2 linked regions of the Canis lupus familiaris genome follow. The protein of the gene in region 2 interacts with the protein of the main gene of each other region in a pairwise test. Links are inferred from orthologs where the notes say so. Each region holds a gene or a part of one and is shown on either strand. Other genes may lie near its edges. The genes, in order: UBL5 and CLK4.

What was found.
Region 1: the proteins of CLK4 (region 2) and UBL5 interact in a two-hybrid assay, tested with the Homo sapiens proteins (2 studies listed by BioGRID and IntAct). The link is inferred for Canis lupus familiaris from reciprocal best matches to the Homo sapiens genes CLK4 and UBL5.

The regions. Positions count from the first base shown.
Region 1 is NC_049241.1:51,569,191-51,573,068, forward strand, and holds UBL5 (ubiquitin-like protein 5), read right to left. Parts: upstream 2,469-3,878; 5' UTR 2,315-2,468; intron 2,043-2,314; 5' UTR 2,032-2,042; coding exon 1,976-2,031; intron 1,783-1,975; coding exon 1,699-1,782; intron 1,548-1,698; coding exon 1,510-1,547; intron 1,003-1,509; coding exon 959-1,002; 3' UTR 804-958; downstream 1-803. UniProt on the Homo sapiens protein: Ubiquitin-like protein that plays a role in cell proliferation and sister chromatid cohesion by associating with spliceosomal proteins. Participates thereby in pre-mRNA splicing by maintaining spliceosome integrity.
Region 2 is NC_049232.1:3,225,662-3,229,968, reverse strand, and holds the start of CLK4 (dual specificity protein kinase CLK4), read right to left. Parts: upstream 2,886-4,307; 5' UTR 2,742-2,885; intron 1-2,741. UniProt on the Homo sapiens protein: Dual specificity kinase acting on both serine/threonine and tyrosine-containing substrates.

The sequences.
Region 1 (3,878 bases), on a different chromosome or scaffold from region 2:
GATACAGGAGAGGGGGAAAGGGATGGGGCAAGCTTCTGGGTGAAACTCCTGAGAAAGGCTCCAGAATACAGCTGGAGGAAGGACCAACATTGATCCTGGGGTCTGTGGCCCAGGGAACACAGATGGGGTGTTTGGTGTCCTGTCTACTCACACCTGGGGGAAGGCTGGAGACAGCTTTAAACACTTTGTACCAGACATCCTGCTGTTTTAACTGCATTCTCGTTGAGATATGGGTGCCATCCTGGTTGTCTATTTTAGAGTAGGAAACCAAGGATCGGAGAGGGTGACTTCCTCAAATCCCATCACTAATGATCAAAGCCTAGCCTAAACCACAGTCTCTGTTCACTTGAATTTCCAAAATCCAAGGAACTGTGGCTGCTTAATCATGCTTTAGCTCATCTACACATTTCACAACAAGGCAATTAAGTAAACACTATCAGTTCCAGTTTGGATAAGGAAATGAAGGCATTAACTACCCTGGCCCAGGATCACAGCAGTGGCAGAGCTGGGATTCCAACCATAGTCGGTCTGAATCCAGAACCTGTATTCCTAACTACTGTATCTACTGTCCTTACCCAGACCCCCTTGATCTATTAGGATGCCAATAATCCCACGGATCTCTCGACCTTCACAGACCCTTGGCAAATCCCAGAGCTTCCATTCAGGCTCCCAAGCTGCTGGCTTACTCTTCCCTCACTGATCCAGTTGGATCCTGAACTCTTTATTGAGCTGCTGGGTACTGAGAGTATAGTGACAACCCTCCCACGTTAGAAAAGACCTCCTTCAAAGATGACAACAATGAAGCAACTTCTAAGATTTTATTAACATGAGTTTTTAAAAACAAGCATCCGTATCAGTGTGGGGGAGATGGTAGTGAAGAGGGGAGAGGAGCCAACAGGAGGGGAGAGGAGCGGGGTGGGGGGGGAGGCAGGACAGGACAAATGGAAGGAATTCTGCTCTATTGGTAATAAAGCTCCAGGTTCATCCCATCGTGGATTTCATCTGAAGTAAAAAACGTTAAGGAACTCTCACTGTGGGCTCCATCTCCACCCTCTCATCTTGCACAGGTGGGTCAGGGTGGCCTGAGGGCTCCACCCAGGGCCAAGGGAGCCATTTTGAACTAGGTCAATTTTGATTTGAAAAGAATCAGAACTATAAAAAAAACAAAGGTTCACGCTCCTGTTGCACAACAGACATGCCTGAGTCTCACTCCACCCTGACCACTTGTCCACACTCAGGTAGAGATCAGTAATAAATATTTAGACCTTCAAGTTTCTTCTAAGCCAAGCCAAAGCATTTCATCAACCACCCTCCACCCCTAACCAACATGACATGGCTTCCATTTTCTTTCTTTCTTTTTTCTTTGGATCCCATTTTCCAAATGCTTACTGTGTGCTACATTCTAAGTTAAATACTTTATGTGCACCATCTCATACAGACTCCAGCACCGAACAAAGAGAACCAAGTCTGGTATACAGAGCCTTCCTCAAGAAGTCACGCAAAGGATACAGTCCCCCAAAGACACGTGGTCCTTGAAAATCGTGTACCTGTGGGATAGAAACCTTTTGAATTTGAAGTCTGAGGTGGATTTTCATGCAGGAGGCAAGCTGAGGAAGCTCTGCCTAAGCCCACAGGGCTCCCCCACCCAAACCTTCTGGCCCAGTCCCATCCAGTCCCCAGTTCCACCGCTGCACTCACCACTTCTTCAGGACGATCTTGTTCCAACGGGTGCCAGTTTGGGCTGCGATCAGCTTCTTAAGGTCCCCGATGGTGTCATCAGTGCTGGGCGCAGACGAGTTAAGGAAAACGGAAGGGAGAACGGGGAAGAGGACATCCCAGGGCTGAAGGCGCCCTGCCAGGCCCCCACCCGCCCACTCCCCCGGGTTTAACTAAAGTCACCCTACAGCACACACGGAGATGCCTGCCTCACATCAAGCACCCCAGGAACCACTGCCTCTCAGCCGCGGGTGGATACTTGCACTTAACGCGGACCTTCTTCCCTAGACGGTCGTTGCAAACAACCTCGATCATCCTGTCTGGAGCTACACACGGCGTGGGGTGGAAGGCAGCAGTCAGGACTTCAGGGGTCTCCCAAGAGCCAAGACCCCGGGTTTGAGTCTTACGTTCACCCCTCAACCTCCCAGATTCGCGGTCCTCCTAGGCCCCAACTCCCAGGACCGCGGACCCCAGGCGGCCGCGCCTCCCCGCTCAGGTCGCCTGAAGGCCCGGCCTCGCCTTTCGCAGACGCGCACACCCTTGATGGCCAGGTCCGTCCGCTTTCCCCGACTCTGCGCCTCTCCCACCAGCCCCTCACCTCGAATCGCCTGGAACCCGCCGACGCCACAAACTCCTCGCTCGAGGGCGGAGCCCGGGTTAGAGTAGACGCCGAGAGCCGGAAGCGGAAGTGAACAACCGGAAGCGCCCTCCCCGCTCCCGGCTCAACACCGCTCCGGCTTTCTTCCGGTCAAGGCAGGTTCCGAGCGCCGCTTCGGGGTCCCGAGTTTGGGCAGAGAATACTCGCCCGTCGGTGCGTGGGGCCGCGTTGGGGTCCCGGTTTGTGCGTGGCCGGGGAAGGGGCGTGAAAGCAAAGTCAGAGGTCAGGGGCCGGGCAGAGAGATCCCCCTTCCGTCGGAAGGTGTGGGTTGCCGCGGCCTCGTGTGGCGTCTGGTGGGAACATCAGGGGAGCCCGGGGACGCCCCGTGGGGGTGGTGACTTTTCGTTCCGGAGCCCGATGGAGCCTCTCAGTGGAGCCTCAGCTTCAGGGCGAGGAGGAGCCTGGGTGAAGTCGTGCTGTCATCTCGGGCCCCCTCCCTTCACTGGGGGCGGGGACTTGGAAGCGTTTTGCCCACCCCTCCCTTTGGCCATCGCTTCCCCCCCTTGCACCCCGACACACACACCTGGGCGCAGACCACAGTCAGCAAAGCGGCCTCCTGATCACGTCCTGGATACCAGCACGCACCAGTCCGGAGTCCCGTTCTCTCCTCTGCTGTCTCTGCCTCTCTCTCTGCGTCTCTCATGAATAAATAAAAATCTTAAAACATTTTTTTTTTTTTTTTTGGGTAAAGGGCCGCCTAGGTGGCCCAGTGGTTGAGGGTCTGCCTTTGGCTCAGATCCTGGGATGGGGTCCCGCATCAGGCTCCCCACAGGGAGCCTGCTTCTCCCTCTGCCCTTGTCTCTGCCTCTGTCTCTGTGTCTCTCATCAATCAATCAATCTTTAGAATGGAGTCCAAGTTGCATGCCAACCAGCATGATGGGCAAGTCGAGTGGAAACGACAGAAGAGGGTGATTACCCGGGTTTGTGTGATTGAGGAAGGTCACCCCAGCCCTGCAGGGAGCACCTTGTACCAGATCTCAGCCTTGCCCTTCAGCCCCAGAGCAGCCCCTTCACTGCCAATGGAACCATTAGGCTGTTCTTTCTCTGCAGACAGGATTTTCCCAGTTTGGTGAGCCTAAAGGGATTCGCTCTGAAAATGAGCTGCTGCTTCTGATTTGCTCCATCCACCTTCTCTGTCTCTCTGTCTTTTAAAAAAGATTTGTTTATTTATTCATGAGAGACAGAGAGAGGCAGACACATAGGCAGAAGGAAAAGCAGGCTCCCTGCGGGGAACGTGATGTGGGACTCGAGCCCAGGACCTCGTGATCACACTCTAAGGACTAGGCTACCACTGCGGCATAGACACCCTCTCTTCCAGATTAAGGTGACAAAGGAAGGAGCCTCGGATACCTCACTTTAGAGACCCCTCCTCACACCTTGGTAATTAGAATTCAGAACTTCCCATGGGAAAAAAAAAAAAAAAACTTCCCATGAAAGGACTCAGTGAATGCCCCTTGAGGAACAAGGGCGGCTCCATTCCCCTCTTTGAGCAGCAGAAGGTCAG
Region 2 (4,307 bases):
CTCAGGGTGCCTTCTCCTTTTGAGGCCCATGCTTCTAATCAGAAGAACACAACAAAGAATGAGGAAGCTTCAACGGAGACTCCGTACAGCGTTCTTCCTGTTAGGGCCCCTGCCTCCTGGGCAGATGGTAGCTGGAAAAGTTCCCTAACGATGCCCCCATTTTCGCGAGTTTCATTTAACCGAGGCAGAGTAACGTTTGAGAGCTAGTGAGCATCTCTTAAAGGGCTTATCTCGAAGTATTTTGCAGTTCTGAGAATCCCTAGACCGTTTCCAACTCTGAGTGGGTAGAGAAAAGAGAACCAGTCTAAGCCCTAAGAAACATTTCAAAGGGAAGAAGAGCCTGAGAAGGAATGATCAGGAGAGGAGAACCAAGAGCATGGTGTCAGAGAAAGCACGGGGGAGAAGGGCTTGAATGAAGGAAAAGCTTTCAGCGCCAAATGCAGGGAAGGGGTCAGGTACCCTAAGTACTGGAAAGTGTCAAGGGGATTCTATACTCTGACAAGGATTCACTGGGTAAAAAGGAGAGCCGGAAATCAAATTTAGGAGAGCGAAGTTGGATGGTTATGGGCATAAACTCAATAGTGTGTGGAAGATCTGAACTCTTGTATATTGTTAGGTGAAAGGAAATCACTGTAATTTCATGATCTGATATCCTTGGAAACTTGTGTCACCTACTTAAAATAAATTGAGTTGTAATGGAGATTGTACCACAGCCTTCAAGAAGTGAAGTTGAAAATACATCAATTCTCACGAAGATTGTGCCACACTTCAAGGAAGTGAAGAAATTGAAAAGATAATTGGAAAATTGGAGGTGAAAATTCTTGATGCTTTAGAATGAAACAGACAATATTATTCAAATCTAAAAGAGCCAACATTTCTGTATCTACAAGTTTAAATCTTGCCCATCCTTCCACATCCATCTCTAAAATTCTGTCCTTGACTAGATCATTTCCCAGCCATTACCCTGCTCTTGACTACTCCAGTTAGAGATAAGGTCCTAAAACAGGTGGCCACAGCCTACTGATGTGCCTGGAGCCATCAAGGTATATCAGCCAATTTTGGAAAAAATTGGAATTTACTGGTTCTACAACTGATTGCACATACTGTTTCAGGGACATTTATCAGATGAAATGTTGAACTGAGTGGACTGGGCCATCTTGCAAGGTAAAGTGGGGCTCGGCTTGCTGCATATATAAAGGCATAAATTGAAGCTGGCACCAAAGAAAAGTTGCTTTTTTTTTTTTTTTTTCTTTTTGCTGTAGCATGAGGCATATGAGGCATCTTTGTCTCAAGAGACTATAAGAGAATGTGGTCAGGATAGTGCACCGTTGTGTTCAAACAGCAACAGCAACAGTGTTGCAAGGTAGCCTAGTAGAGGGGCATCTGGGTAGCTGGGTCAGTTGGGTGTCTGACTCTTGATTTCAGCTCAGGTCATGATCTCAGGGTTGTGGGATCCAGCCCCGCTTAGTGCTCCACACTGAGCGTGGAGTCCGCTTGTCCTTCTCCCCTAGCCCCTCTCCCAATTGCATTCATGCTCTCTCTCAAAATCTTAAAAGAAAAGTCAGCTAAGTGGAAAGGCACCTACAGAGGCATTTATAGACATCACAGAATAGTGTTACCCAATAGCAGGGTCTGCTTTGTACTTGCCACTATTTGTTTTAGTGTCATTTTGAGTTTTTAAACTCCAGAGTGCCACCAAGGAGACTCATACTTGACAGTATAGAGTGATCAGATAAGGTTGAGAACATCCTGTGACTAGTGTCTCTATTACATGTAATACAGCACGATGGTGTTCCCAATTGCTCTCTATGGCTTATGTGCTTTGACTGGAGACAAGGATTTGATTTATATTGTCTTTGGTATTTCAGTGCTCCAAACCCAATGCCTATTTGTAGGTTATTTACATAAGCTGCTTTTGGCCATTTTACTCAGTTGGTTTAAATTGGATTAAATAAAAGTAGGAATTTACTCTCAGACACCCATCTAACTGCCAGTTAGTATAATAATCTTACATGGTACCTCAACCTCTTTCTATTTAGTTACTATTAAGTCAGTTACCTGAAAATAAACACCCTTTGGTCAGAAGACTTAATGAAGTCTAAATTTCTGTGAATCTACTACCAACACTGGAAAAACTGCCTAATCCAGTAGCTTCATTTCAATGCAAGAACACATATGCCCAAGAAAACCTTAAGTTAACTTGCATACGTGTTCTTGCATAGAAATGAAGAAAATCTTAGTTTTGAAAAGCAACCAGAGGAATATTCTTGTATAGTCTGGCACAGATATTCTATGTGCTTAACCTCAGACATAGGAAACAGTCATCTCTGAGAACAGAGCTCCAGAGAAAAAGTCTAAACTGTTGCATAAATTAATTTTAACAAAATCTTAGTGTCTCTATAGAGAAATGTGAAGACATAAACAATCCTTTACAGTTATAACCTCTGGTTTAAGTTGCCTATTACTGATAATTACCATTGTGTACTCAAATTTTTCATTCATGTTTAGCTATCAAATATCCACTAAGTAATTAAATAACCACCGTATATCCATAATGTCCTAATTTAATCATCTAAACAATACCCTGTAAAGTGATTGATCTTTGGTATTTGCTCTAGGTCACAGTTATCAAGTATTAGAACTAAGATTTAGTCTTAGGCTTTGCTTGCTCTGAAGTACTTTGCATTTAACCATTCTGCTAACTGCTTCAACTCCTTACAACAAAGTACATAGCAACTTACTTTACTTAGTCCTTATGGAAAATATGCCGAGTCCATCATTCAGCAACACCAAAGGAGTTTGTCTTAAAAAAAAAAAAAAAAAAAAAGCCAAGCCACTTTCCACAGTGATATATCATCGAGAGCTGCTCATGATGAAACAATGGGTCAGTTTTATCTCCAGCACATCAGGATCATGAAAGGCCTCAGTGTGCCTCATTCACTGTTCAATAGGAAGTCACAAAGGACTCTCCTGCATCCCACGTTCCTCCAGTGTCTCCTGATGCTGGTTGTGAGGAGATTCACACAGCACAGGATTATTAAGCAGGATTCAGTCCCATCAGAAAATGCTAGAAGAGTTCCCTGCTACACAAAACACTTGGCCTAGTGTATATGAGGAGGGGCGTAAAAGGGTGCTGGAAGGTGCTAGAGGGACTAGGATAGGCTGGTATTTCCAATCTCCTTGTAAATTTTCACTGCTTCCAATGAAAAGGCTTTGGAGCCAGGTTAATAAATTACTTTCTCAACCCCCACTTGCCAATAGTCTCAACTGTCAACCATCCAGTAAGCCATTGCAGGGAAAATATATTTACCTAAATCCTAAATATCTTGCAAACATTGTAGAACCCTACGTAAAATGTGTAATACATATTCGTCTTCAAGTCTTCTGGAGTTAACCCTTTCTTTTAATGTATAATCGTCAAGTTCCTATGTCATGTACTTATGCCACACACTGACCTAAGTACTAAGGATACAAAAGTATACAAGACAAAGTACCTGCCCTTATACAGCTTAGATTCCAGTGGGGGAGAGAGAAAGAAACTAGAATAAAATATTTCAACTTTTTTTTTTTTTTTAGATTTATTTATTTTAGAGAGTGAGATCAAGGGTGGGGGACAAAGGGAGAGGGAGAAAGAATCTTCAAGCAGACTCCCTGCTGAGTGTGCAGCCTGGCACAGGGCTTGATCTCAGGACCCTGAGCTGAAACCAAGAGATGGATGCTTAACTGACTGAGCCAGCCTGGTGCCCCCAAATACTTCCACTTCTTCAAGCCTTTTAACAGAGTTAGCCAGGGATGCTTGGGTGGCTCAGTTGTTTAAGTGTCTGATCCTTTTTTTCAGCTCCAGTTATGATCTTAGGGTTGTGAGACTGAGCCCACATTGGGCTCTATGCTGGGCATGGAGCCTGCTTAAGATTCTTTCATCACCCTCTGTCCCTCCCCTTCCCAATAAAACAGTTACCCAAAGGCAGATCACTTAGCAATTCTTACAATTACCATTCAAGTGCCTCCAGCTACTGCATAAGCCAATGTTTCACCTCAACCTGAACCTCATCCCAGTTCACCACCAGTGAGAGTTTTTTCCTAGATCCAAAGGCAGTATCCTTTTTTTTTCTAGTTCATCACCTTTGTCTCCACTAGAAGCGGTGTTAAAGGGACATCTTTGCCCTATTCCTGTTTGTAAAGTGAATGCTTCCAAAGTTTTTATTAGGTTTCATGTTGTAAACTTTTCTCTCAGTATATTATGAAAGTATGTCCATACCAATAACTATTTATATACAGCCAATCCTCGTTATTGGCAGATTTTGTAT